Linked DNA regions of Rattus norvegicus. The protein of the gene in region 2 interacts with the protein of the main gene of each other region in a pairwise test. Links are inferred from orthologs where the notes say so. Each region holds a gene or a part of one and is shown on either strand. Other genes may lie near its edges.

Evidence for each region.
Region 1: the proteins of Egfr (region 2) and Csk interact in a protein complementation assay, tested with the Homo sapiens proteins (3 studies listed by BioGRID and IntAct, with this or other methods). The link is inferred for Rattus norvegicus from reciprocal best matches to the Homo sapiens genes EGFR and CSK.
Region 3: the proteins of Egfr (region 2) and Urod interact in a protein complementation assay, tested with the Homo sapiens proteins (2 studies listed by BioGRID and IntAct). The link is inferred for Rattus norvegicus from reciprocal best matches to the Homo sapiens genes EGFR and UROD.
Region 4: the proteins of Egfr (region 2) and Snca interact in a protein complementation assay, tested with the Homo sapiens proteins (3 studies listed by BioGRID and IntAct, with this or other methods). The link is inferred for Rattus norvegicus from reciprocal best matches to the Homo sapiens genes EGFR and SNCA.
Region 5: the proteins of Egfr (region 2) and Ctnnd1 interact in binary tests that used the Homo sapiens proteins (3 or more experiments, as listed by UniProt). The link is inferred for Rattus norvegicus from reciprocal best matches to the Homo sapiens genes EGFR and CTNND1.
Region 6: the proteins of Egfr (region 2) and Itk interact in a protein complementation assay, tested with the Homo sapiens proteins (3 studies listed by BioGRID and IntAct, with this or other methods). The link is inferred for Rattus norvegicus from reciprocal best matches to the Homo sapiens genes EGFR and ITK.
Region 7: the proteins of Egfr (region 2) and Grap2 interact in binary tests that used the Homo sapiens proteins (3 or more experiments, as listed by UniProt). The link is inferred for Rattus norvegicus from reciprocal best matches to the Homo sapiens genes EGFR and GRAP2.

Annotation. Positions count from the first base shown.
Region 1 is NC_086026.1:66,927,475-66,931,745, reverse strand, and holds the start of Csk (tyrosine-protein kinase CSK), read left to right. Parts: upstream 1-1,471; 5' UTR 1,472-1,518; coding exon 1,519-1,533; intron 1,534-1,859; coding exon 1,860-1,973; intron 1,974-2,085; coding exon 2,086-2,198; intron 2,199-2,487; coding exon 2,488-2,707; intron 2,708-3,496; coding exon 3,497-3,590; intron 3,591-3,783; coding exon 3,784-3,849; intron 3,850-3,929; coding exon 3,930-4,029; intron 4,030-4,121; coding exon 4,122-4,212; intron 4,213-4,271. UniProt on the Homo sapiens protein: Non-receptor tyrosine-protein kinase that plays an important role in the regulation of cell growth, differentiation, migration and immune response.
Region 2 is NC_086032.1:95,504,126-95,507,625, forward strand, and holds part of Egfr (epidermal growth factor receptor isoform 1 precursor), read left to right. Parts: intron 1-1,401; coding exon 1,402-1,601; intron 1,602-3,500. UniProt on the Homo sapiens protein: Receptor tyrosine kinase binding ligands of the EGF family and activating several signaling cascades to convert extracellular cues into appropriate cellular responses.
Region 3 is NC_086023.1:135,702,581-135,706,700, reverse strand, and holds the start of Urod (uroporphyrinogen decarboxylase), read left to right. Parts: upstream 1-1,320; 5' UTR 1,321-1,357; coding exon 1,358-1,377; intron 1,378-2,008; coding exon 2,009-2,121; intron 2,122-2,242; coding exon 2,243-2,322; intron 2,323-2,399; coding exon 2,400-2,462; intron 2,463-2,660; exon of another isoform or gene 2,661-2,692; coding exon 2,693-2,890; intron 2,891-2,989; coding exon 2,990-3,151; intron 3,152-3,911; coding exon 3,912-4,049; intron 4,050-4,120. Other genes in the region: E3 ubiquitin-protein ligase HECTD3, read right to left, coding at 1-161. UniProt on the Homo sapiens protein: Catalyzes the sequential decarboxylation of the four acetate side chains of uroporphyrinogen to form coproporphyrinogen and participates in the fifth step in the heme biosynthetic pathway.
Region 4 is NC_086022.1:91,025,974-91,029,144, reverse strand, and holds the end of Snca (alpha-synuclein), read left to right. Parts: intron 1-1,058; coding exon 1,059-1,142; intron 1,143-2,075; coding exon 2,076-2,108; 3' UTR 2,109-2,671; downstream 2,672-3,171. UniProt on the Homo sapiens protein: Neuronal protein that plays several roles in synaptic activity such as regulation of synaptic vesicle trafficking and subsequent neurotransmitter release.
Region 5 is NC_086021.1:90,096,190-90,099,689, reverse strand, and holds part of Ctnnd1 (catenin delta-1), read left to right. Parts: intron 1-476; coding exon 477-669; intron 670-1,126; coding exon 1,127-1,241; intron 1,242-1,773; coding exon 1,774-1,861; intron 1,862-3,500. UniProt on the Homo sapiens protein: Key regulator of cell-cell adhesion that associates with and regulates the cell adhesion properties of both C-, E- and N-cadherins, being critical for their surface stability.
Region 6 is NC_086028.1:31,313,205-31,317,135, reverse strand, and holds the start of Itk (tyrosine-protein kinase ITK/TSK), read left to right. Parts: upstream 1-1,131; 5' UTR 1,132-1,221; coding exon 1,222-1,359; intron 1,360-3,931. UniProt on the Homo sapiens protein: Tyrosine kinase that plays an essential role in regulation of the adaptive immune response. Regulates the development, function and differentiation of conventional T-cells and nonconventional NKT-cells.
Region 7 is NC_086025.1:113,996,225-114,000,155, forward strand, and holds the start of Grap2 (GRB2-related adapter protein 2), read left to right. Parts: upstream 1-1,131; 5' UTR 1,132-1,244; intron 1,245-3,931. UniProt on the Homo sapiens protein: Interacts with SLP-76 to regulate NF-AT activation. Binds to tyrosine-phosphorylated shc.

The DNA.
Region 1 (4,271 bases), on a different chromosome or scaffold from region 2:
AGAACCAGGAGTCCTGCTCAGGAGTTACTTTCCCCTGCTCTCTCTACCCTTGCTTCTGGAGGACTCTGGGAGTGTGTGCTCCCTGAAGAAGTTCCCCAAGCGTATCCCCCTCAGAGTCCAACCATAGCGCTTCACAGGGAAGCTCCTTGCTACCCTACAGTGTTCATGCCAGGGCCACTGGAGCCCTTCTCATACGGCAGACAGACAAGGGTGCTTGGGATAGGCTCAGCAAGTCGAGGGTCACAGAGGCCCAGATTGATTCAGCCTTGCTTCATCAGCTTCTACCCAGGCCAGTTCTTCCTTCCTTCCTTCCTTCCTTCCTTCCTTCCTTCCTTCCTTCCTTCCTTCCTCCCTCCCTCCCTCCCTCCCTCCCTTCCTTCATTCATTCATTCATTCATTCATTTTTATGTGTGTTGGTGTTTTGTGTGCATGTATCTAATAGAAGCTAATATCCTAATATCTAATAGAAGCTAATATCCTAATATCTAATAGAAGCTAATATCCTAATATCCTAAGCTTCTCTATGTCATTTTTTCTGGCCATTTTCTTTTAAAACAAGTTTTTAACCATATAGCTTAGGCTGGCCTCCAACTAGCCATCCCTCTGCCTCACCCTCTTCCCTCTGCTTTTCTAACAAATATTTATTTGCTTGATTGCTCATGGATTTAAAACGTACAGATCCATACCTTGTACTAGAGTTTGAACCTAGAGCCTTGTTGAGCATTCCAGGGAACCACCATTCACTAAGGTCAATCCCTGGCTCCCATCCTCTACCTTTTGAAGTCTTAAGGGCTCAGCTTCTGTGCTTCCTGCATATGTGTGTGCGTGCAGGTGTGCATGCACTTGCTCATATATAACAGCACTCACGCTGAAAGTCCTCTTCCATTCGTAGTATACATAGCTATAAAGTAAAGGCTAGACCTCACCTGTCCCATCTCAGGTGGGCCTGCCATCTAACCGTGTGATCACAGAAGGGCCCTGCCTGCCTTGTGTGACTTCTCCCTACCTTGTCTACTTTATTTTCAGCACTTGGGCAGTTCCTGATCTGCCAGTTACTATAAAGCACACCAGGGAGAGCACCTGCCCCTCCTGGTAGACACGGGCTCTTTTCTGTTGGGTGTGTGCTGAGAAGGAAACACAGACATTTGTCTGTATAGAGGCCTCAGGACAAGCTTTCCTGGACCACATAGCACCTGCCCGGTTTCAGAGTTTCCCTGGACTTCCTCCCCTCTAGTCTTCCCGGCCTCGTTGGCCTTCTTGGTCATTCTGTGGGGCCTGTAAGGACTGGTAGGCACCCCTCTGGGACTCTTAGGTCTGTGTGTGTCTACCTGAGGCTGGTTAGAACAGCCCAGGACCCACATGTCACGGACCACGGCTTGCACTCCTTTAAGGAAGAAGTGATGATCACAGTCAGGGTGGGGGTCATCTCATCTTCAACTTGATTCTTTTCCCGCAGCTCTAATGGTACCAAGTAACAGACCGGCCTTCCTGTAGCACGGGGACGCCAGATCTCAGAAGATGTCGGCTATACAGGTATCGTGAGGCTGTGGTCCCATGTCTTGCCCTCCCCAGGCCAGACAAAGAATAGGTACTAAGAGCAGCTTGTTCCAACCATGCCCAACCCTCCATCCCAGTCAGGACTTTGTGTGAAGTAACACTAATTCCAGTGTGCTCTGTCGGGCACAGGGCCCCAGAGAGGGCTACAGAGGAATTTGAGCTAGAAGGGCTGAGAACTCTCTGGAGAAGTTATCTCCCCAGGTTCATGGAGGTTAGCTAAGATGCTTTGGTCTCAGGGGCATTCGGGCAGGTTGGTAGAGAAGCTCCCCAGGCTGCACCGACACCTGTCCCTTATCCTCTAGGCCTCCTGGCCATCCGGTACAGAATGTATTGCCAAGTACAACTTCCATGGCACTGCCGAGCAAGACCTTCCCTTCTGCAAAGGAGATGTGCTCACCATTGTGGCTGTCACCAAGGTACTTGGGACCTACGATGCCTGTCCCATCACCTCCAGGGGTTTCTTCTGGGTTTGGTTGCTTGGCCGAGGGAGGCAGGCCTCAGAGTGTGTCTGTGTTGTTCTCTCTCCAGGACCCCAACTGGTACAAAGCCAAAAACAAAGTGGGCCGTGAGGGCATCATCCCAGCCAACTATGTCCAGAAGCGTGAGGGTGTGAAGGCAGGCACCAAGCTCAGCCTTATGCCGTGAGTACCAAGAGGACGGAGGGCTGCAGTCTCCTGGTTTGGGGGAAAGAGGAAATGGCAGTGGTCCTCCTGGAAAGGCATCAGAGCAAAACAGCCCTGAGTTAGGGCTGTGAGGTGAGGGCGTTCTAGGGATGGGGCCAGAGGCTGGAGCTAATGGATGCAGAAGGAAAAAAGGGGTACAGGAAGAAGATGACGCCCTTAGATTGGGAGTTCTGGGAAGGTGTGTGCAGGAGGCTGGCGGAAGCTTCCGGGTCAGCACCCTGGTGACGCCCAGCCTTGCCACCCGTAGCTGGTTCCACGGCAAGATCACACGGGAGCAGGCGGAGCGGCTTCTCTACCCACCAGAGACAGGCCTGTTCCTGGTGCGGGAAAGCACCAACTACCCTGGGGACTACACACTGTGTGTGAGCTGTGAAGGCAAGGTGGAGCACTACCGCATCATGTATCACGCGAGCAAGCTGAGCATTGATGAGGAGGTGTACTTCGAGAACCTCATGCAGCTGGTGGAGGTGAGTGGGGAACATGCCTGCCCGGGGTGAGCCCCCTTCTCGTACACTCGCGCCTGAGTCTACCTGAGGACACTTAGGACAAACCCAGACCCAGCTCACCTGGCAGGGTGACCTGGACATGTTGATGGCTTCTTTGAGTCTGAGGTTCCTCACATGTGTGGAGCACCACCTGTGTGAGAGAGCTCAGTTCTGTCCCCAAAGGCCCACAAATAGGGTGGTATCCCCATTTTATAGATAAGGACACAAAGGTTCAGATCAGTGAAGGTCCCCTCATCTGTGCAGGGGAAGCACTCGTGTGATCCGGAACTCACTTCTTCCAGCACTCAGAGCCTCTGGGTTGCACACTGCCGTCAGGATCCTTGAGACTCACAGGTCCTTGATGCTTCCAACAGCAGCTCCACCCAGCTCTGGCCAGGCCATATCTGGCATCAGATACCTATAGGTTCCCTCCAAGCTCGTTCTCATCTCTGGCTTACATTGGCCCTGAGTACACCTGGTAGAGGCTGGTATAGGGAGCAGGCAGGTTTTGCTATCTACCTTGAGATATTGGTGAGGCCCAAAGCAGTAGTGGCAGTTGGGAGTCCAGGAGCTGAGTGTGGATAGGGCGATGTGGGAAATGGACAGGCATTATACCCTTCTCGAAATGAGGAACCCTCTCCGCACAAAGCAGCTCAAGGTTGTGTGGAATGGCCTCTGCTGCCCTCTGGTGGTCAGACCTGAACAGTGCGTGGGTCAATGAGAAATGGGGCCCAGTAGGTCTGGTTCTGAGGGCCTGCCCCACCTCTGCAGCACTACACCACAGATGCCGACGGACTCTGCACTCGCCTCATCAAACCAAAGGTCATGGAGGGCACAGTGGCGGCCCAAGATGAATTCTACCGCAGTGAGTGCACAATGTCTCCGATCTCCCACTTGCCCACTTCCCCTCACCCGGGCCCTCTGCCCTTACCCTAGAGGCTTGGAAACCCCAGACACCCACATCTAAAACAGTTTAGCCTGTGCCTATCATCTCAAGTGCTTCAGATTAGCTGTTCACTTCCCTGACACACCGCCTCCCTCCTGGTCCCTGTCCCCAGGTGGCTGGGCCCTGAACATGAAGGAACTGAAGCTGCTACAGACGATAGGAAAGGGGGAGTTTGGAGGTGAGTTGAGGGAGTGGGGGTGGGGGGATGAGGTGGGGGAGCCCCAAGAGTCCAGGAAACAACCCCTGCTTCTCCCACAGATGTGATGCTGGGGGATTACCGAGGCAACAAAGTTGCAGTCAAGTGCATTAAGAATGATGCTACAGCCCAGGCCTTCCTGGCTGAAGCCTCTGTCATGACGTGAGTTGGGCTGGACATAAGAGCAGGCCGCCTGGGTGGAGTGTGGCGGGGGATGGGCAAGCTGAACTCTTGACCACCCTGTCCTGCCACAGGCAGCTTCGGCACAGCAACCTAGTCCAGCTACTGGGTGTGATTGTGGAGGAGAAGGGTGGGCTCTACATCGTCACAGAGTACATGGCCAAGGTAGGTGCTCCTCAGCCTCAACCTGCCTGTCCCACAGCCCCTCCACTCTGCCCCTGCTG
Region 2 (3,500 bases):
TTCCACTGATATCGTGGAATATTTAACAAGTCAAAGCACCGCACACACGGGATATACATCGCTGCCCATAAACTCCTTTAGATAGACACTTCCGATACTAAGCATACTGTTACTTTTGCTTCCTGCCTTTGCTCTCAGATTCTCGGGAATGCTCTCTTTCTGGGGTTAGCACCCTGTGTCAAGCGGCCGCACAGGAGCCTTGTGCTTAGTTTTAAGCACTTAAGTTCAGGGATGACTAGTTCCTGAGGTGACTCTCGAAAGACTGGGGCTTGACCTGGAAGAAAGAGCCCAGGCAGACCCTGACTCCTTGGCTTCTCTGGGCATATGTTCGAGGAGAATTGCCAGTAAGTGATGGTGGTGGTTCTCCTACCCCAAACCTCTCACTTTCCTGAAAACAGGCTGTGAGGAGAGATGATTCATGAAGCAGGGAAATGGGAATAAAGCATGACTAGGAGGAGGACCTGCCAAACAGTGCTTTAAGCTTTGTTCTTTAACTCCTCAGCTTCTGTTCTCTTTCTTTTGTCCTGTCTCAGCTGGCTCACTCCTCAGGCTGGTGTCAAGAAGATTCCTACAAATACACACCACTTCTATGTGTGTGTCCATCCATCACATGTGACTATTTATGCCCAGCTGTGCTCTGACCTCACCCATCGGTCCCAGCTCTGTCTCCCTGCCCTCCCCGAGTGCACACATCCTATGGTTTGGGATTCCATTCTCTCTTAATCTGACCAACTCTCATCCAGACTCATACCTGCAGAATCTTATAAGCTCTGCTTTCTGGGTCTCGGATATGAACTATGCTTGGAGAAAGTCACCCTCCCATGCTTTTCCTCCATGGCGCTCCTGAAATATTTATTTACCCTGGGCTGACATAGTGCTCACTAAAACTGCATTTATTTCTATGTATTCAAACAGCTCTGCCTGTATGATTATATCATCTTTAGACAGTTTCCCTGAATAAAGAGACAAATATTTAATGTGTGGCATTGTGGAACCACAGATATTCGTTCAATAAACATGACTGGGGAGCTGAGTGGTGGATAGGTGGACAGATACTAGTATTGACTTACAGTGGGTTTGGATGTTGCCTAGAAAGCATGTTCTTGATTTCTAGGAAAACTATAAATATAGTAAATGAAATGACATGAAGCCATTGATTCAGCCCTCCAGTTTAGCCAAGGTTAAAGATAAGTGAATGAGAAACTGTCTTTTCCTTGAAGAAATCTAAAAAACAATAGTACTTACATTTTTTAAAAGTTGTGATTCACACTTTTCACAGAATGATTAGTAATAACTGGCACACAGTGTTCAGGAAACTTTGGTGGCCCAGAAAAACTAAATTATGACCCATTGCTTTCGCTGTCACACACAATACAATTTTTCTTCTCCTCCCCCTTTTAGTGGTCAGTTTTCTCTGGCGGTTGTCGGCCTGAACATAACATCGCTGGGGTTGCGTTCCCTCAAGGAGATCAGTGATGGGGATGTGATTATTTCTGGGAACCGAAATTTGTGCTACGCAAACACTATAAACTGGAAAAAACTCTTCGGGACGCCCAATCAAAAGACCAAAATCATGAACAACAGAGCTGAAAAGGACTGCAGTAAGTTTCTGTCCCATCTCGCCTACACAGGGAGTTCCCAGAGGTGGTTTGTTTTGGGAAGAAACACTGAAGAGGTTCTCCCCAAATGTTCTAATGGCTCTTTTTCATTCCCTCGTTGAATTAAAATCCGCGGGGTTCGTAACTGTAGCATCAGCATCCAAATCACTTCTGGAATGCTCTCATCTCATAGGGTGAATTTGCCTTGTGTGGCTTCAGTGTGAAAAGCCCTCCCAGGCTCATGAGTCTGAGTCCCTAACTGTGCTCTTTGGAAAGGTTGTGGGACCTTTACAAGGTGAATCTTCCCTAGAGGGAGTCCAGCTTGAGGGCTCCACATCCTGTGTATTCTCTGCTTCCTATTGTGTCAGTGAGATCACATGTTCCTTCTTATGTCCATTGGCATGCTTTCCCTGCCATGATTGACCGAACCCCTTCTTAAACTGTAAATCAGAACGACCCCGTCTCTCCTTAGGTTGCTCTTGTCCGGTATTTGGTTGCAGTAATGAGAAAAGCAGTAAAGAAAATCAATGCCAAGCAGGGGAGCCTTGGCTTTGATGGATTTGAGGATGTGGTTCTTAGACCTTTGGGGCTAGCTTGTGGGAGGAATGTTCCCCACAAAGTTTGGAACTTTGAGAAAGCTCAAGAATTTTGTAAGCACTGCTCAAAAGGCCATCCTGGTGGGAGTTTGGAAAACCATAATGCTGACAGAAATATGAACGGTAGAAACCTGCTTCATCAGATTTCAGAGGAGAACAAAGACACTATTAGAAAATGAGCTAGAGGCCATTTGTGATGTATTATGGTAATGAATCTGACTGCATTCTGCCTATGTCCTGAGAATGTAGGTCATTAGAAAGCAATGACCTAATTTGATTGGTGGAGGATATCTCAAAACAGAAAGAATAACACTCAGGCTGTACCATGGCTCCTACTCACTGCTCTTATCCAGGTCTACAGCATGCTGGAGAAGAAAGTGGACAGTGACATAGGACAGTGTGCAGTTTGTTAGGCAAAGGAGAGAATTTAAAGTTGTACGTAGATCAGGTGCTGAGGAAGCAATTATAACAGTAAAGATATTAACACGTTAAAAAGAAGCCTTGTGTAATCACACGGGGACAATAGAAAAAAAAGCGCCCTGAGGGTAAGACCCCACCCACCAAAAGGTGCATCTTGTGGGAACATACATTCACTTGAAAGAAGAGCACCAAGACTGAGAATTCTGCTGAAGAGATTGCCTGCTTCTGGAGGCCAGGGTAGATCTTTAACTGGCCACTGAAATGGGCAGCCTCATCCACAGGGTACTGGTTTCATACACATGAAAGATACAAGGATGAAGGGGGCCATGCAAGCCTTTGGCAAGATTACAGAAAGCCAGTCAAGCCAGGTGCTCTTTGGCAGGCTTAGGGTGGTGGAATGAGGCTGTGTGAGCCTATAAAGATGGACTTGAGTTGCCATGGACACGCTAGGATTTTAAAGATGACAGGACAATGGAATGCCTGCTAAGGAAGACTGCAGGTGTGGCATAGAGCAGGCCAAACAGCTACCTCTTCCACACTGCAAGGGACAGACCTGGAAGGACAGAATTACAAAGACATGGATAATTCTTCAGTAGTTCTGCTGGGTCTCAGTTTTGCTTTGATCCAGACTCTCTGCTGTGTACTGATTCTACTCATTGAGTGGGAATGTTTACCATGTGCCATTTTTTCCATTTTTTTTAATCTTTATTAACTTGAGTATTTCTTATTTACATTTCGAGTGTTATTCCCTTTCCCAGGTTCCGGGCCAACATCCCCCTAACCCGTACCCCTCCCCTTCTATATAGTTATTCCCCTCCCCATCCTCCCCCCATTACCACCCTCCCCCCAACAATCTAGTTCACTGGGGGTTCAGTCTTAGCAGGAC
Region 3 (4,120 bases), on a different chromosome or scaffold from region 2:
TCCTTGTAAAGCTTGTAGAGCACCTCTCGCGGCACGAAAGCCAGCGCCGCAGGCAGTGGCAGCCCGGCCCGGAGGCTCCGCGCCGCCTCGGCCAGGAAGCGCACGCGACCCAGGAGCTGTCGCGGGGACTCAAGCGCTGCGCCGGGGCCCGGGCCGGCCATAGTGAAGCCCGTGAAGTGAGACTCGTCCAGGGAAACCCTGCCCCGCCGCAGCCCGGGGACTGCAAGCAGAGCTTCCCACCACACCCTGCCCCACCTCACACCCTACTTTACCGTATGTTTTGGATTAAATGCACAACCTATTGCTACCAAATTTGTCAGGTGTACTCTGATAGTCCCTATTTTGTGACTCGCTCCCCTCACCACCCCTTCCGCCCTGACCCTGGCTTATCAAATCAGACTCAAAACTAGATTCTTAAGGTAAGGTCTCATTATGTAGCCCAGGCTGATCTCGAGCTCGCGATCCTCTAACTAGAGCTAGTGCTACTACCCTTGTTCAAGCCTTTATTCCATCTACTCTGATGCTTTGGCCTCATGTTTTTCTCTCCCTGTCCCTAACAAACATTACATTTGAAGGAATCTTTTTGTTGTGTTGTACTGTTTTGTTGAGACAGGGTTTCTCTGTGTAGCTTTGATTGTACTGGAACTCACTTTGTAGACCAGATTGACCTCAAACTTAAAAGATCCTCGCACCTCTACCATCCGACTGCTGGGATTAAAAGCGTGAGCTACCACACCAGACTTGAGAAATCTCATAAAAATTGCTCAACTATCTGTCTTAGGGGGCGCATGACTGACTAAATGTTCAGTCACTGACAGAAATGTATAAATCACTCTGGATGGACGCTATTTGTTGCTTCTAATTCCAGAAGACTAATAATCATTGCCCACTTAAATGTGATTGTCAAGTTTTGGTTTAAACGATTGGTAGAGCAGTCCCTGTCTTGAGCAGCACTCTATCATTCCTACAAATTGGTTAGTAATGTACATGTGGACTCTAAAATCTTCGGCTCCTTTACAACCTTCTGCACCGTTCATTTGCCAAACAACATTGTTAGACTTATGAACGGGAGTGAGAGCGAGGCCTGTGCTAAGTCTTCAGTATTTCTAGACCACAGATGAGAAAAGTTTAAATTTTCCTTTGGGTCATTTGTTACTGCGTCGCCACAGTGGACTTTACGGTGAAAAATTGATGGGGTCCTACGGGCAGCGGGGAAGGCAGCCCCACAGCTGTCACTGGTCTGGTCACGTGGTTCTCAATATGGCGCCGCCCGTGGTTCTCTTCAGGAAGGGGCGGGGCCTGGACTGTAGGGGCGGAGACTCAGATTAAAGCGGTGACCGCTCAGTTACTGTTTACCATGGAGGCGAACGGCTTGGGGTGAGTTTTCTGTTGCACGCGCTGTAGCTACGTTGCTTTCCGATCCGAGTCTTCCAATTCAGGGATATGTCCTTAAACTCTTATTTTTCTGGAGATCTCCAAGCACCAACCCAAGTCGCGGAGATTCCATATCTTCCAATCATGGAACGGAACCTTTTCGTTCCCTGCCCCCCCCCCCCCCCTCTTCCCGCAATCTCCATTCCACGGACTACTTTGCGGGACTGCATTCCAAGACTTCCTTTCTAGGTGACTCAGAACTAACTAGCACCTGGGACCATCAGCTTTGATCCTTTCTCTCTTGGTTTGGGGACCTCAGCTTCAGAAGCTTGCCTGAAATTAACTCCCTTTCCCCAAACTTCCTTACTGGATTTTCTTTCCACTTCCCTAGTACCTCCAGTTTCTTTGAGTTTGGGAAAGTGGACAAATGTGTAGGAAAGAGGCCCTAGTGGGGCCCTTCTCCTGGAAACTTGTGTGCAACTTGATAGAGGGGAGGAGCTGTGGGTGGGGAGCCATGGTTTGCAAGCAGGCCTGGAGGAGGCAGATAGCGGCCTGACTGAACCCACGCCTTCCCCAAACCACGGTCTAGCATAATGACATTTACTCCTACCTGTACATTCCATCTCATCCGCAGACTCCAGAATTTCCCGGAGCTGAAGAATGACACGTTCTTGAGAGCAGCCTGGGGAGAGGAAACAGACTATACTCCTGTTTGGTGCATGAGACAAGCAGGCCGCTACTTACCAGGTCAGGGGTAAAGGTGTGGTCTAGATAAAACCTGAAAATCTAGTTGGTGAAATTCTTCAGGGGAAGATGGTAACTTTGGAAGACCTCATGGTTGAGTCCTGTTCTCCATCTCCTCTTGTAGAGTTTAGGGAAACCAGGGCTGCCCAGGACTTCTTCAGCACCTGTCGATCTCCTGAGGCTTGCTGTGAACTGACTCTGCAGGTGAGGGCCTCACAAATGAGGGTGGGGTTTATGCCCTCAGTGGGTGGCCTTACTAACCTATTTGCTATTCCCTGCAGCCACTGCGAAGGTTTCCTCTGGATGCTGCTATAATTTTCTCTGACATCCTTGTTGTACCCCAGGTACTCAATCCTAATCCTGGAATGTGGGCTTTAAAAAAGGGGGAGAGAGGAATGCACTTATTGCAAATCCTCTGTCCTATCAGGTTTCAAGATAATTTCAGAAGTGGGAAGAGGAAAACACTAGGAATGGAGTTTACAGGGGGTTCAGCCTTTTCTTTGTTGCATGTGTTGAACAGAACCCTTCCCTCTGAGTTCCAGGTTGTGTACCCAGATATTTTATCCCCCTTAAGGCACTGGGCATGGAGGTGACCATGGTACCTGGCAAAGGACCCAGCTTTCCAGAGCCATTAAGAGAAGAGCGGGACTTAGAGCGTCTACGGGATCCAGCAGCAGTGGCTTCAGAGTTAGGCTATGTGTTCCAAGCCATCACCCTTACCCGACAACAGCTGGCTGGACGTGTGCCACTGATTGGCTTTGCTGGTGCTCCGGTAATGTGGCACAGGGGTGTGGACGGGAGCATGAAGAGATCAGGCTAGGTCTGGAATAGACAAAGAATTCTATGTCCTGCCATCTGCATCTTTCTGCAGTGGACCCTGATGACGTACATGGTTGAAGGCGGCAGTTCAAGTACCATGGCTCAGGCCAAGCGATGGCTCTATCAGAAGCCACTGGCCAGTCACAAGCTGCTTGGCATACTCACTGATGCTCTGGTCCCATATCTAATAGGACAAGTAGCTGCTGGTGCTCAGGTGAGTCTTAGGGACAAATAGGTTGCAGCTTGGTCTATGAGGATCCAAGGCAATGGTTTCCTAAACTGGAGAAATGAGGGGTGTTACTTTTCCTCCAGTGATCTGGTTAGAGTATCTAAGTGGTTCTCAATCTTCCTGATACTGTCACCCTTTAATACAGTTCCTCACGGTGTGGTGACCCCAACTGTAAAATTACTTTGTTGCTACTTCATAGCTGTAACTTTGCTCTGTTGTGAATCGTAAACATCTGATTTGTAGGATATCTGATCTTTGTGAAAGGGTCAATCCACCCCAAAGGGGTTGTGACCCACAGGTTGAGAACCATTTAGATCCTTAGCCCTTCCTGAAGCTGTCAGCCAGACTTTAAGGTCTGAGTATTTGCAATGTAAAGTTGCTGTTAGGATCTGGAGAAGGTAAAACTTTTTTTTTTTTTTTTTGGATCCACCTGCTTCTGTCTCTTAACCAAGTGCTGGGGTTAAAGTCGTGTGTGCCACTACCTGTCTGTCTCTCTTCCCTTTCTTCCTTCCTTCTTTTCTTTTTTTTTGTTTGTTTGTTTCTCTTGTGTATCTTTGGCTGGTGTGCACAACCACTGCTGGCTTCTATTTTTTTCTTTAAGGCAAAACTTGTTGACTGGAATTGAGCTCCTAGCCTCGGGGAATGTGTCAGGGTTTAAAGTCACCTGAGGAGAATTACGCCATCACGTGTATGTGGAGCCTGAGGTGCTTCCTCTTTGTGTGTTTTTCTTATCACCTATTTACAGGCATTGCAGCTCTTTGAGTCCCACGCAGGACATCTTGGCTCCGAGCTCTTCAGCAAGTTTGCACTGCCTTACATCCGTGATGTGGCCAAGCGAGTGAAGGCTGGGTTGCAGAAGGCGGGCCTGGCACCAGTGCCCATGGTGAGGACTGGGACAGGCTGAGTGAAGGGTGCAGCTCTCAGCCTGCAGAGACTGAAATCACCACTTGAGGG
Region 4 (3,171 bases), on a different chromosome or scaffold from region 2:
CAAATTAGCCCATTTAGGCTCCAGTTACATCTCTGTTCTTTGAATATTTGCTGAACTCTATCATTCAGTAATTACTTTGGTGGAACAAACGGGAAAGAACAAAAAGGCCTTTGATGGAGAAAACAAAGAAGGCACATCATGTCAGACTGAATGCTATGATGTCAGCACTGTGGAGAGATAATCTGAAATTTTGTCCAATCTAATCTTTGGCTTCTTTTTTAACTTCAAGTATGTATAATTTCCAGATTTCCAAAGAGAACTATTTCTTTGGGAGCATTTATAAATGAATTTATTGGAGCCAGAAATATAGCTTAGTCATTAAGAGCATATGTTTTTCTTCCAGGGGACCCAAGTTTATGTTCTAGCATCTGTATGGAGAATCACAATTGTCTACAGCTCAAGCTTCTGGGAATGTGATGCTTTCTTCTGCCCTCTGTTTTCACCACACATGCATAGTGCACAGACCTACACACAGGGCAAATATCCCTACACATAAAATAAAATAAAACAATGAATTACAAAACACATGGACTTTGCCTTAACAAATTTAGGGAAAACCATAATGATGTGTCTGTATATTAGTTCCACTTTCTTGGAACATTTTTACTTTCGGATTCAAGTGTTGTGTGGATTCTGTCCACAAACAATGTCCTGTTAAACATTACACCAAAATTAAGTCGTCCCTATTAGAGAATTATCATGATTTCAGAAAAAAATAGAATATTTTGCCATTATTTGATTCATCATTACCAGTTCACTACAAATCATTGCTACTATAACATTGTGCTCATGGAGAGAACTTAGGGTCTTTTGCTTTGCAACTTCCTGGGTAATGAGTTACTTGGGCAAAAGCTTTGAAAGCTTCAGATTGGTAACCCATGTTTGCATGATGTTTTTCTCTGGTGGTTTGGTACAGTTTGGCTCGGTAATTCTGAAGAATGCACTTCTGAGAACACTTCTTGTAGCGCCTTGAAGGTATACCTGACATAATTTTTTTTCAAGTTATGCTTCAGTAGTGAAAACACTATCTTACTGTGCTTTCACTTCCCTGTCTGTAGGGTGAAGAAGGGTACCCACAAGAGGGAATCCTGGAAGACATGCCTGTGGACCCTAGCAGTGAGGCTTATGAAATGCCTTCAGAGGTAAATGCTTACAAACAGAAAACCAAGAAAAATACCCTTAGGTATTTTCTTAGGTACCTTCAGAGGTAAATGCCTATGTGCAACACTCAGCCACTATCACATCTCCCTCATATTATGGTTTGGGTAGTTCAATCATAAAAAGGGTTTTGAGAAAATGATTTTAATCTTTGTGGAAGAGAGTAAGGGATATGGCAGGTCAAAGGAAGAACATTTTAGAACATTCTAGCACAAGAGGTTACCAGAAACAAAGGCATATGAAAATGCCTGAGCAACAATGGGCAGTTATGAATCATGTTTAGAAAACATAAAATATGATAGATTAAGGCTGAAGACATAATTAAGGTTATAGACAAACTGTAGAGTCCCAAATTAACTTTGTCATTTAAGTTTATATTGACATTTGAAAAAGAGTTTGATAATAGGTTTAGTTTAACAGTAGAATCCTGATATAATCAATTAATTGAGGAAGTACCATTCCTGTTATGAATGTTACCTAGATTTTGTCCAGGAGGCTCAGGCTTTAGAATAAATGAGCCTGTGTGGAAACCTCTCATGAAGGTGGGGTTTCCTAATGGGGGAGAAAGGAGAAGGATGAGCTCTGGAGGAGGCTTTATGCAGCTCACCTAGGTGTTCACGGCTCACAACGCAGAGCAAAGGAGAAAATCAGAGCCCCAGCCAATTCATACTGCAGCACGAAATCACAGATCAAAGGATATATCTAGAATTAGGCCTAATAATCTGTGATGACCCCTATAACGTACAGATGCTACGTATGGAAAAACCAATACATGTTCATGACAGATAAGCCCCAAACACTGAGCTGAGGATCAATTTTATCTGATTGAAAGGCTGAGCCCTCCCTCCTGTGAAGCAGACAGTTGATAACTGTCACTTCACTGACAAGGCATGCTCTTATTTTTTTCCTGATATTAGGAAGGCTACCAAGACTATGAGCCTGAAGCCTAAGAATGTCGTTGTACCCACTGTCCTAAGATCTGCCCAGGTGTTCTTCCATGGCGTACAAGTGCTCAGTTCCAACGTGCCCAGTCATGACCTTTTCTCAAAGCTGTACAGTGTATTTCAAAGTCTTCCATCAGCAGTGATCGGAGTCCTGTACCTGCCCCTCAGCATCCCGGTGCTCCCCTCTCACTACAGTGAATACATGGTAGCAGGCTCTTGTGTGCTGTGGATATTGTTGTGGCTTCAAACCTAAAATGTTAGAAGAAACTTAAAACACCTAAGTGACTACCACTTATTTCTAACTCTTCACCGTTTTTTGTTGCTGTTCTCAAGAAGTTGTGATTTGCTATAAGACTTTTAGATGTCCTTAATGATTCTTTCTGTCTAAGAAGAATGATGTGCTGTGAAATTTGTTAATATATATTTTAAAATATGTGAGCATGAGACTATGCACCTATAAATATTAATTTATGAATTTTACAGTTTTGTGACGTGTTTTATTAACTTGTGTTTGTATATAAATGGTGGAAATTAAAATAAAATAAAACATTATCTCATTGCAAAACCTTTTTCCTGTTTCACTTTAGTAACAAAATCATGCGTATCAGGAGCATGAACATGAAATAACAGCTGACAAAATGAACTAGAATGTAAAGTCTTAACACTATCTTGAAGAATTGGGAAGTGTTAGAGATGGAACTCTCTCCTGCAGGAGGAATTCTCCAGTGCCATTGCCCACAGCCAGCTTGATATACAGTCCTGCTCAGAGCTGTGGGAGCACTGAGAAACACTTCATTGGAACTGAAAGGTGTGAGGGATAGCGACTACAGCCCTTTTACATATTCATAAGACATATTAGCATATCCAAGGCAGGCTGTGGAAGAACCTGCTTAATTTATTGCATGTACACATGTGTGTGTGTGTGTGTGTGTGTGTGTGTGTGTGTGTGTGTGTGTGTGTGTGTAAGGAAGAACTCAGGAAGTACCTTTCCCATTCCCCATCCCTCCTCCACCTGTTTCTATGAATGTGCTCCCATTCACACCCACCCACTCACACCTCAACACCCTGG
Region 5 (3,500 bases), on a different chromosome or scaffold from region 2:
AAAGCAAGAAGTGATGATTCTTCCAAAACATTATAACCATTATTATTTGTTGAATATCTGTTTTCTCTATCTCTAGGCATTGTTAAGAATTTTTCTTTTCTTTTCTTTTTTTTTTTTTTTTCATTTGCCCAGAATTGAACTAGTTAGTGGCAGAGCCCAAGTAGTTGAATTTTTTTAAATTCATAAAGAATGCTTTGCCCCACAGATTATCATAAGATAGTACTGAATGTACTGTTTTCATTACTGTGTCTGGAAAGACCAGACTATATTTGATATCCAGCATCTCATTGTCTGTGTGCTCTTGAGGAAATAGATGAATGGCAGTGAGTTTATGGCTGTCTCATGTTCTTGCCCCCTTTGAAATAATCTTAGTAATAATGGAGTTAATTTGTATGACTAGAACTTAACACTTGGCCTGATTACTACTCTCAAGTGTATTGTGAGGCTCCTTCTGACCTTTTGTTTTACTGCTATAGGCAAACATGCTATTCCTAACTTGGTAAAGAATCTGCCAGGAGGTCAACAGAACTCCTCCTGGAATTTCTCTGAAGACACCGTGGTCTCTATATTGAACACCATCAACGAAGTTATTGCTGAGAACTTGGAAGCCGCCAAAAAGCTTCGAGAGACCCAGGGTATTGAGAAGCTGGTGTTGATCAACAAATCAGGGTGAGCTTTTTCTTAATCACAGCTAAGAGAATTTGAGTTTGAAGAAGAGTTTTTAGAAAATAACTTTTCTCTTCCATTCTGTGAGATTACTTCTTCCTATAACATGTGGAGAGATATTGCTCTATTTTCATTCTTAGTGTCGGTCTGTAAATTGGTATGGACTGTTACATCAAAGTAGTTTATGTCAGTGTTTCATACAGTATAAGAGTTGGTGAAATTTGGCTTCACCCATTTTTACATTTTTATATCCTTGTGCTGTTAGAGCAGTAGTTTTCAACCTGTGGGTGTCAAGTTATGAAGTAGCTATAAATATAATTTTATGTCTGGGGTCACCATAACGTGAGGAACTAACTATATGCAGCATTAGGAAGGTTGAAAACCACTTTGTTAGAGAGTAAAAGTTCTGAGATCCCTGGTCTGAAAACTAAACTTTGTATGGTGTTACTTTCCTTCATAGGAATCGCTCAGAAAAAGAAGTCCGGGCAGCAGCTCTTGTCCTGCAGACAATCTGGGGCTATAAGGAGCTTCGGAAGCCACTGGAAAAAGAGGGGTGGAAGAAATCAGACTTCCAGGTGCAATAACTCTCGACTGAAGCTTTGACTTTTCTTCTCTTTTGTTCCTTGGCTAGTGCCTCTGTCTTTGGTTAGATTGTAAAGACTTGCCACACTACTTTTTAATCCAGTTTATTATAAACTGTGGTGCTCACAGTTTATTTTTGCTGAAGTAGTTCTTCTCTCTCAGTGTTGAACATACAGTAGATGCTGTTGGTAGAGAGCAGTGATAATGTATGGCCACTGTGAGCTTCCTGTCTACTCAGACCCTTCATGTGCTTACTGTTCTCTGCTCCCTCTAGCTCTGTCCTCCAAGTACTAGCAGTGTAGGTATGCACTACTGCCTAGACTCAGTCTTTTCTGAGGAGTTACTGTCAGTAGGCACCTAGCATCTAAGCCCTTCAGGAAGAATGTGTGAGGGCTAAGGCAGGTGAGCATGGGGAAGGAAACCCATGCTCTTTCAGGGTTCCTGAAGTGGGAGGTACATGGTTAGGAGAAGGGGCCAGGAATCTCTCCAGGTTTCTATGACACTGGGTTTTATGTTTGTCTCTAGGTGAATCTAAACAATGCATCTAGAAGCCAGAGCAGCCATTCATATGATGATAGCACTCTCCCCCTCATTGACCGGAACCAAAAATCAGGTATTATAACCAAGGGGTGCAGCTTTCTCTGTTTAGTGCTCCTGGCATTCTTTAATGGCTTATTAACTGAGAAATAGGATATGTGTTTATTTCTAATTAAGCTAGATGCCGAGTGTGGGAGTAATGCTTTGCATCCGGATTGTACTGTGTAAGAGAATAGGTTTGAATTTAGAAATCAAACAGGTGTGGTGGTGCACACTTGTAATCCCAGCCAGCACTCTGAGGTGGCAAAAGGAGGGTCAGTAATAGGTCAAGGCCAACCTTGGCTACATGACACTCTGTCTCAAGGGAAAGTAAAACCAAAATCAAGGTAGTTAGTAGCGTGAAGTGCGGCTTTTTTTTTTTTTTTTTTTTTTCTGTCACAAATAAACTTTTATCAGGGAACTGGGGCAGGGTGATCAGAGAAGGACCTGAAGTGGGAAAGAGGAAAGGAAAGGGGGTGGCTGGGTGGCTGGTTGGTTAGAGTGTCCTAAAGGACAACCACCTCCAGCCACCGAGTGTGGCTTCTTTAATTTGCCTGCGAACTTCAAGTTACTAGAGGGTGAATCAGTTTTCTGTTTAATCTCTCTCTTAAATTTCTGTTCTACTGGGGTTGGGGATTTAGCTCAGTGGTAGAGCGCTTGCCTAGGAAGTGCAAGGCCCTGGGTTCGGTCCCCAGCTCCGATACTTATTAATGTGCTTGGTTAATTATTAGTGCTTTTCTAGTTGGAAAAAATAAAAACTACTGACAACCAGAAAGTCCATTATTTCTAGTCCCTAGAGAAAACACCACCGCTATAGCTCTGTGTGTGTGTGATTGTGTTTTTGTGTTGCTGTGGTACTGGGGACTGAATCCATGTCTTTCTTGGCAAGTTTTTTTTTGTGTGTGTGTTCCCTGAGGTAGAGCTTTTTAAACCACTTTATCATAGATGAATTATATATTTAGTATTTTATATATTTGTTTCACTAAAAGTATGTACCGTAACCTTTCTTATCTTACGGCTTTTACCTTTTGATTCCACCCATGGCTTTTGGAGCATGGCGTGAGAGCCCCAAGATTCTTGGACATATGCACTGATGACATAAAAGCAGCGCGTGCTGCCGGGGCCAACACAGATGGAGATGGTGACACTGACCTGAACTAGTTGGGTTTACTCCCATGCACTCCTCAGTTAAAAAGCCATCTCCATTTAGGAGCATCCTTGATGGAGCTGTAATATTTTATTATATTTCTACCCTAAGTACACATCCCCTAGATGTGTAGTGTTAATGAGGAAATGTGAAGCTCTTGTGCTGCGCCACAGGGAGCCACTGTGATTATCTTGAGGCAGACTACTGGTATTACTAATTAGACTAGCCAGTTTTTATAGAGTACTATTTTACTTAATGAAGTAGCTGACACACAAGTGATGATTATTTCAACATGGTTATTTGGCAAGCATTCCCTCAGAAATAAACACAGAAACTTTATTACTTTGTTGAAAAAACTGACAGTATTTGCTACCTGAGTGAAAAATATAATTCTGGCTGAGTGTAGTGTCTCATCCCAGCACTTGGAAGGCTAAGGCAGGAAGATTGCCCTTCATTTAAAGCCAGCATGGGCTACATAGGGGGTTCAAGGCCAGCCTGAGCTGTAGAATAAGACCCTGCCCCCTGAAAA
Region 6 (3,931 bases), on a different chromosome or scaffold from region 2:
AAATAGGTGAGGAAAATCTGAAAGGCTTCCCAGAGAAGGGTGCATGCTAGCTGAGGCTGGCAGTATCACTTAGGCATTCACCAGAAAAGAAAGAGACAAAAGAATTCATTCAGACACAGGACACCCCATTTGTGAAGTGGCATACCCAGAAGACTGACAGGACACCCCAGAAGCCAGGCAAAGGTGTCAAAAGGGGGCCCTGCAGTACCGCATCTCAAGCCCCCATTGCTTCCTTTCATGGACGAAGGAAATGATGTTCAAAGCCACTGACTGGGCAGATGGTAGGTGGTAGGGATGGAATTCAAACCGATAGGTAGAACAAGCAGCTCTGAGCAGATCTCTCCATGCCCTCATCCCCACAACCAGTGACTGTGTGAGGTTGGGTGACAAAGGGGAATTTACACTCCAAGTGGAGTTGCAGTGCCCATCTACTGACCTTAATATAGGGATCCTGTCCTAGATGACTATTGTGAGATGGGCCCAGAGTGGTTCTCAGGATGATTAAATGGAGCAGAGGTAGGAGGAAGAGGTTTCGGCAATATGGAGCAAGCAAAACTTGGCCTGCAGTTTTGGGGGTTGAAGATGGAGAAAAAGAGTAAAGATTGAGGACACCAGGGTGTCCCTCAGGAGGTAGGATAGTCCTAGAGGCAGTATCCCCTAGAGACCTGCCAGAAAGGAACACAGTCCCACAGTCACCATGATTGTCACTCAACCAGACACATTTCAGACTTCTAAACTAGAGAATTGTAAGGTAACCCCATGGTGCTTTGAGCCACTAAGCCTGTGGGAATCCCTAATAAAACAATGGGAAACTTACATACAAGCTGAGCTCCACTGAATCCTGGACCCCATCTCTTACTCCCTTGTCTACATGACTTAACTGTTGCAGAGGCTAATCCAGGAGCTTTAAGAATTAAAATGGAACTCCTCTTATAAGTCTAAATTTCTTCAACCCTCATTTCCAAACCATGTAACTAAGGGTACGCATGTGCCTCTTAGCTCGGTGAATTTTGAAAGGATGTGGTCGTGGCCTTTGACATCAGAGAAGGGAGCTCAGCGGTGAGGCTGGCTGATGCTGATAGAAAAGATAAGGCTAGAGGCAAGTTGCCTTTGAACGACTCTCTAAAGATCAACTGCATCCTGTCGCGTTCCCAGCCGTTCCTCTCCTTCAGTCGAACTCAGGGGTGATGCCCGAGGCGCCTCACCTTTCAGAACTGGACCATGAACAACTTCATCCTCCTGGAAGAACAGCTGATCAAGAAGTCCCAACAGAAGAGAAGGACTTCTCCCTCGAATTTTAAAGTCCGTTTCTTCGTCTTAACGAAAGCCAGCCTGGCATACTTCGAGGACCGCCACGGGGTATGAGAACACTTACTTTGTGCTTTGTTTATTTGCCATTCTGTGTTTGGACTGAGTTGATTCATGGGATAAACTTGGACGCCTGGAATATAGGCACAGTGTGCTTAGCAGCCACAAAAGAGACTGTACCAAATGCAGAGAGTCCTGAGACTCCAGTTGTTTAGACTTGGCTATCTCAGTTCTACAACCTGTAGGTTTGACCTTCATCCATTTCTCTTCTCCACGCGGTCATGTTTAATTTTTTTAAGCATAGAAATATCTTACATGGTGAATGTTGTGGACAGAGCTTTATGCAAAAGTGAAGTATATGGCATTTACAGTCTGTAGGGCGGTAAAATATTCATTATTGTTGGTGATTAGTACATAAGGGGCAGCCTAGCCCAACCTCCCTGTCTTACAAAAGAAATGCTTCTTAGAGTGGTGAACGGGAGGTCCCATGTTAGGTTTTTATGACTTGAACTCTCTTCGTCTCAGTGGTCATCAGTCCCCCGAGGCCATGGGATCATGCTTCCATTCATGTAATATTCTAAAGTTGTAGGGCACATGGTAACCCTCTTCATGGCAGAACATCTCAGGAGACAAAGGGTGTAGAACCCAAAGTTTCTGCCAGCAGACCAGGGATCCCTGCTAGAGGGTCTCTGGCTACTCAGCTAGTTGTATCTAATGACATCTTCATGAACAGAAGCAACAACAAAAGCAAATGAGTGTGTGTGAGTAATACAGTGTGATAGAAGCACTGGGTGGTGCCAGGAGCTCAGCCCTAGGTGAAGTCTTTTCTGAAGCAGCCAAGGGCCAAGAGCATCAGCAGGGGCAAGACTTGGTCTTGCAAGAGAATAGGGTTGCTTTCTAAAGTAGCCTATGTCCATCTTGACAACATTGTTACTCTGAGACTACAGAAGCTACAGGCCTCTGGATCTATTGACACTTGTTGCTTACAGTGAGGGGGATTAGGTAAAGGATTATTGCTATAGCACCGTTCTCTGACCTGATATATACATTCACACATATATTTACATTTCATTCACATTCCTATTTACACATTAACACATTCACGTTTTTGTTGGACCCAATCACCTGTCTCAGACACTCCACAAGTATTCATGCATGCTTACATACACACATATACTTACACACATACATATAGACAAACATATACATTTGGATAGATGGGTGGATGGAGCAGAGCCCTCCAAGCTAAACTATCCAACTAACCACTTTATTTCTTTTCTCTGGCTTTTTTTTATACTTTCTCAGACAAAAAGTTCTTTTAGAAAATTGCCTCAGAGATAAAATGTTACATAAAATGGGAGTTTCAGAAGAATGCTGACATTTAAGTTCAAAGGAATGTTTCATTCGATGAGCTCCTTATAAGTTCAAAGCAACAGTTTTTACATGGCCTTGCCTTATCATAGTGCACACCTGTGGTTGTATCCTTGGACCTACATGTTTTTCCTTGAACACGAAATCTGTCCCAAGTTTATTTCTCTTTTTAGTGTAATTCTAAAAGCTCATTGTATTTCTTATTATGCAGCCTATACTTACTATTCTGCGGAGTGGGAACATTCTATTCTTGATTCTAATCTTACTACAAGTTTCTAGCAAAACAAGTAAGACCATCTCTTCAAACTTTCTTCCTAACATTATTTTATTCAAATCAGGAATTCTATAGAATCACTCATTCATCTAAACAGCATTAATTCATGAGAGTTCACCTTTATGTTGATCCGCAGGAAATCTGATCAATAGGGTGGGCTAATGCCTAGAGACTATCAATTGAATAATGACAGGAAAGGCATATCAACTGCAAGAAGCAATCCTGAGATGAAGTCTCTTTGGGACCCTGCCATCCAGCTCACCCATTGCACATCATGCAACAAAACAGCGGCCCACCTCTGGGAATGCCACCTGATAGCCTTAGCCTAACCTAGATGGCTCCTGACAGGGTCGGAGTCAAGTAGTCCCTGTGTCAGTGAGTCGCCCTGGGCAAATATCCTTCTCCGTCAGACTTAACCTTCGTAAGTACACAGACTAGACATCAATCCCAAGTCCCACTCTTTCTTTTAGAACCTTTTTGTTTGTACACAGTGGCTCTTGGTTAATCCTCCTCAAGTACTTTTCAACGCTTGTTTGATTTCTTGTCATATCACTGTAGTATGTTTACATCTTTTGAGAGGCAGGGCAAAGATGGGTTTTAGCTTGGTGCTCACCAAGGCAAGGATGCTTCTGTTCCTTGCTGGTGTCTCACTAGATCCACGTGAGGATTTTCATCAACTTGGAGCAAATCACTTGGAGGGGGTAAAATGCCTCACCTTTTAAGTTTCAGGTAAAATAATGCCGCCTCTCTGTACTTTTGCAGTGAAGAGAACCACTTGTCTTCAGCAGGGTCTCACTGATAGCTTACTAATAGATTAGAGGCAGATAGAATGACATACATTTAGGTCCCATTGGTCAGCGGCCAGGTGCCGAGCTGTGGGCCTGAAGGATTAATAAATCACCTGTCATCAACTCTGTTTCTGTGAATGGAACATGAAATTCGTGTTTCACAATGAAAGCAAAGCACCTTTAAATAACT
Region 7 (3,931 bases), on a different chromosome or scaffold from region 2:
AAGAAATTCTTATCTCAAAAACACTAAAAATAAAATAAAATAGATTTTAGAAATCATTTAAAGAAGCAATGAGAAGCCACCACAGAAAGCAGGAATGAAGATTAAGTCAGGATTTCAGAACTTCAAATTGAATCAAATAGAGAAATCTATCCCAAGATTAAAGCCAGTGGCATCCCAAAATGTCCCTCTTCACCCTGGGTCCCCCCTCCAAACTCTAAAGGCCTTGCTTAGCCAGTTGAAATATGCCTCCTTTTTGTGCAAAAGATACAAGAACAAAGAGAAAGGAAGACACAGGCTTGAACAGGCTGCAGGTGGTATGGGGGCAGGGCGAGTAAGAAATGTGAAGGTGAGAACTAGGGAAGTTGAGGGAGATGATGAGTCTTAAATTGTCAGAGAACCTTGGGTCCAGCTTGCTCAAGAGAATGTGAAGTCCACACAGGTCCAAGAAAAGACCCTCGCACATGACGGTGGCAAACCTGGACTTAGAACCCCTGCCTCATCCGCTTGTTAACTCAGTGTGCGTCCCTAACCCAACTCCTGGCTTAGAGAGTCTCCCACCCCTTTTCTTCCTTCTCTCTTGGGTCAAGATTTGTATCACAAGCTAAGAGTTAGGTAAATAGGCTGGAGACACTGAGCAAGCGACTTCTCTGAGATTTTAACTAATCATAAATTGATCAGGGAGACTTTAACTTTTTCCCAGATGCCTTTGCGTTTCTCTGGATGGAGGGATGTGAAGACAGGTTTTTTTTTTTTTTCTTGAGGCCAGTAGCCTCTTGGACCATATCCAAAATCAGAAGTTTTCTTATGCAAATGCGAGCGTTGAGGGCAGGCGGGTTTTGTTAAAACTGAAACATAAAGGACCATGCATGTTTCGGTGAACCTCCTGCATTTTGGTTCGACTCTAGCAGCAAGAAAACAAAACCACACAATCTAAGGCTCACGCCCAGCTCTGCGCAGCAGGGTGTCTGCTAGTTCCTGTGTGGTTTGCCTGCAGACTGCAGACGGGCTGGGGGTAGCTTGGAGGGAGAGCAAGAGGCAGGGAGGAGGAAGCTGTATTGATGGATCTGGGGCTTGTGCCCTGCTTCCGTGTGGTGCTCAGAAGCCAGCTCAAGACAGACCTGTAGGCTGAGGCGGCGCGGTAAACTTGACATTTGAGTGCATCTTCCCACCGGCAAAAGACGAACCTAATAACTCGTTGTCAAAGCCGAGATACACACTCAACTCAGGCTCTTCGCTTCCCAAAGGTATGTCATGCACCGTGGGTGCACACCCTCTGGAAACCTTGAGCGCTTTAAAGATTCTGCTCTCTATAAGCCAAATCTAATGAAAGCTGGCCCTACTGGTTTTTCTAAACTTCAGCTCAACCGTCTAGGTTTCTCATCTCGCTGACTTACGTTAGCGGGGATTGGATTCAACTTCTGTCAAATGAACTAGAGAAAACTTGGTCTTTACTCGACTCACAGAAAAGAAAAACAGCCTTTCCACTAACTGGCTTCAGAGCCGTCTCTGGAAAAGACTTTGGAGGTTGAGGTCCCAGAGATCTCTCTTCAATAGTGAGGTTGAGGAGCAGGAGGTAGCAGCAGGGGTTTGAGCATCCGTGAATAGAACTCTGAGGCCAGGAGCTCTCTCTCTCTTGCTCAATTTCTTCACCAACTCAAACTGCTAGTTCTGGTGGCATTTGCTGTCTTTAAGAACACTGGTTTGGGTGCCTTTAATAAGAGGAAACTTCACGCGGGAAGGTATGAGGAGAGGGTGTTGTCTATCTTTGTCTCTTTATTAATAGTTATGCGGCGTCTTTAAGGCCGTCTCTCGTCTCTGCTCCTGTTCCCATCTGCTTCAGGACACGAGGAAGGAACGAACTCAAAGACCAGGTTTTCACTAACTTAACCATGACCGCATCCACTCACCTCAAAGGCAGCCTTGTTAATCCGGCATATGTACCAATTCGTATGTCATCAGAAGTGCACACCCAGAGGCAAATTAAAGGGGGCTACTTGGCACCTAAAGCACCACAGGGATAAAGCAGTTATAAGCACACGTTGTCGGCAGCCGAGAAACGTCAGTGGAAGAGTCTTGCGTATGGGCACGTTTATTATAAACTGTTACTTTGTTATCCGGTCCCATCTTCATTTTTGGTTTCAGAAAGAACGTTTGGTTTAATTTGGTCTCTTCTAGTGAGTGACTCAACATGACCTACAAAGTTTGATATTCATAGTATAATGTTAGAGAGGTCCTCTTGAAAAAGCAGCCACTTTTAAGTAGCGTCTTCCCACCCCACCCCCACCCCCAAGACAGGGTTTCTCTGTGTAGCCCTGGCTGTCCTGGAACTCGCTCTCACTCTGTAGAGCAGGCTGGCCTCGAACTCACAGAGCTCCTCCTGCAAGTAGTATATTTCAATGCCAAGTTCTAAAAACTTCTGACTTATCCCCTTTTTGAGATTTTTTTGTGTTTTGTGTTTTGTAAAAGGAGGTAGCCCCACATCACTGAAGAAAATGCCCTATTAAACTCAACTCAGAGAGTCTCCCACATAGTAAACTGTAATCTTATTCTCCCTAAATTGTAATGGCTTTTGTCTTTTTAAAAATGACTTTACTGAAGCTGAGGGGAAAGAGGTGACCGATCTATTCAATATGAAGAAATGCCTTTGCTTCTAATAGTAGCTTCCATGTCTTAGACCTTCAGTTGTTTTATACCTGCCTCATAGGGACACTGTAAGAATACAAGAGTTAACATAAATACCATGTACCTTAGGGAAAGGCACTGTGAAAACTCATGATGGGAGTATTATTATTTCTCTAAATCTTAACCATTTTCCTTCCCATCTCTTGTACCAAACGCGTCTCTCTTGCTGCCCAGAGCCTGCTCTTTTGGAACCACTGCCTTCTGGAAGAGCTGCCAGTGATTTCCATGGGTCTGTTGATTCCCAGTGATTTCCATGGGTCTGTTGATTCCCAGTGATTTCCATGTCTGTTAATTCCCAAAGAACAGCACCTGCTGGTGTTGGCAGCTTAAAGAGCTCAGGCCTGAACTTGAGCAAAGTGTGCCCCTCTTCCTGGCTCTAAAAAAGTCTATAATTGTTCACAAATATGTCATTAAGCGCGATTCCATCGGGGTTTCTTTACTGAGCAACAGTTGCCGCCGGGTCAATCCAAGAGGCAGAATCTTGGAGCTGCCGTGAAGCAAGCTCAAACCCTGTTGAAGTGGGGCAGCCAGGTAGTTCGGTAAGGAAAGATGCAAATCCAACACCGTGAGTTCAGTCCCTGGGACACACACGGAAGAAAGAAAGAAAGAAAGAAAGAAAGAAAGAAAGAAAGAAAGAAAGAAAGAAGCAAGCCCTACAAGGTGTTCTCTGACATAGCATCCATGCCGTAGCATATGATGCACACGTAAAGAATAAATAATATAAAATCATAGTAAGCAAATATTTTTAAAAGTTCAAGGGTAGTCACAGTGTAGTTATTGAACCAAAGGGTAGGGTAGGTGAGCCTCGTGTTGTACAACTGAAGTCTTCACTCCGCACATCTCCATACAAAGAGGCACCTCAATTCCATGTGCATCTGCCTGTTTTCTTCATTGTTATATTTTTATAGCATTGGAGAATTTTCAGGAAATCACAGCTCCGTTCAACAGACATTTCACTAACATTTATTGAGCAACTGCTTTGTGCCAATACTTGCACTTGGGCGCCAAGGTCTCTAACCAAGTTCACAATGGGTTCCAAGAGACTCGAGCCAATAAGAATTCAGTAAATAACGTTTTAAAGTCGTTTTCTTTTTAGGTATACGAGCACAGTCCAGAGTTTTAGAGAATTTAATAAAACTACAGCAGGATCCACAACGATAGAGACCATCTTTGCTCTTCGAAGATGTTAAGCATGCATCTCATGAAGAAAGTGAGTTTACGTACAGATTTAAGCAGGGCCTGGAGGCCC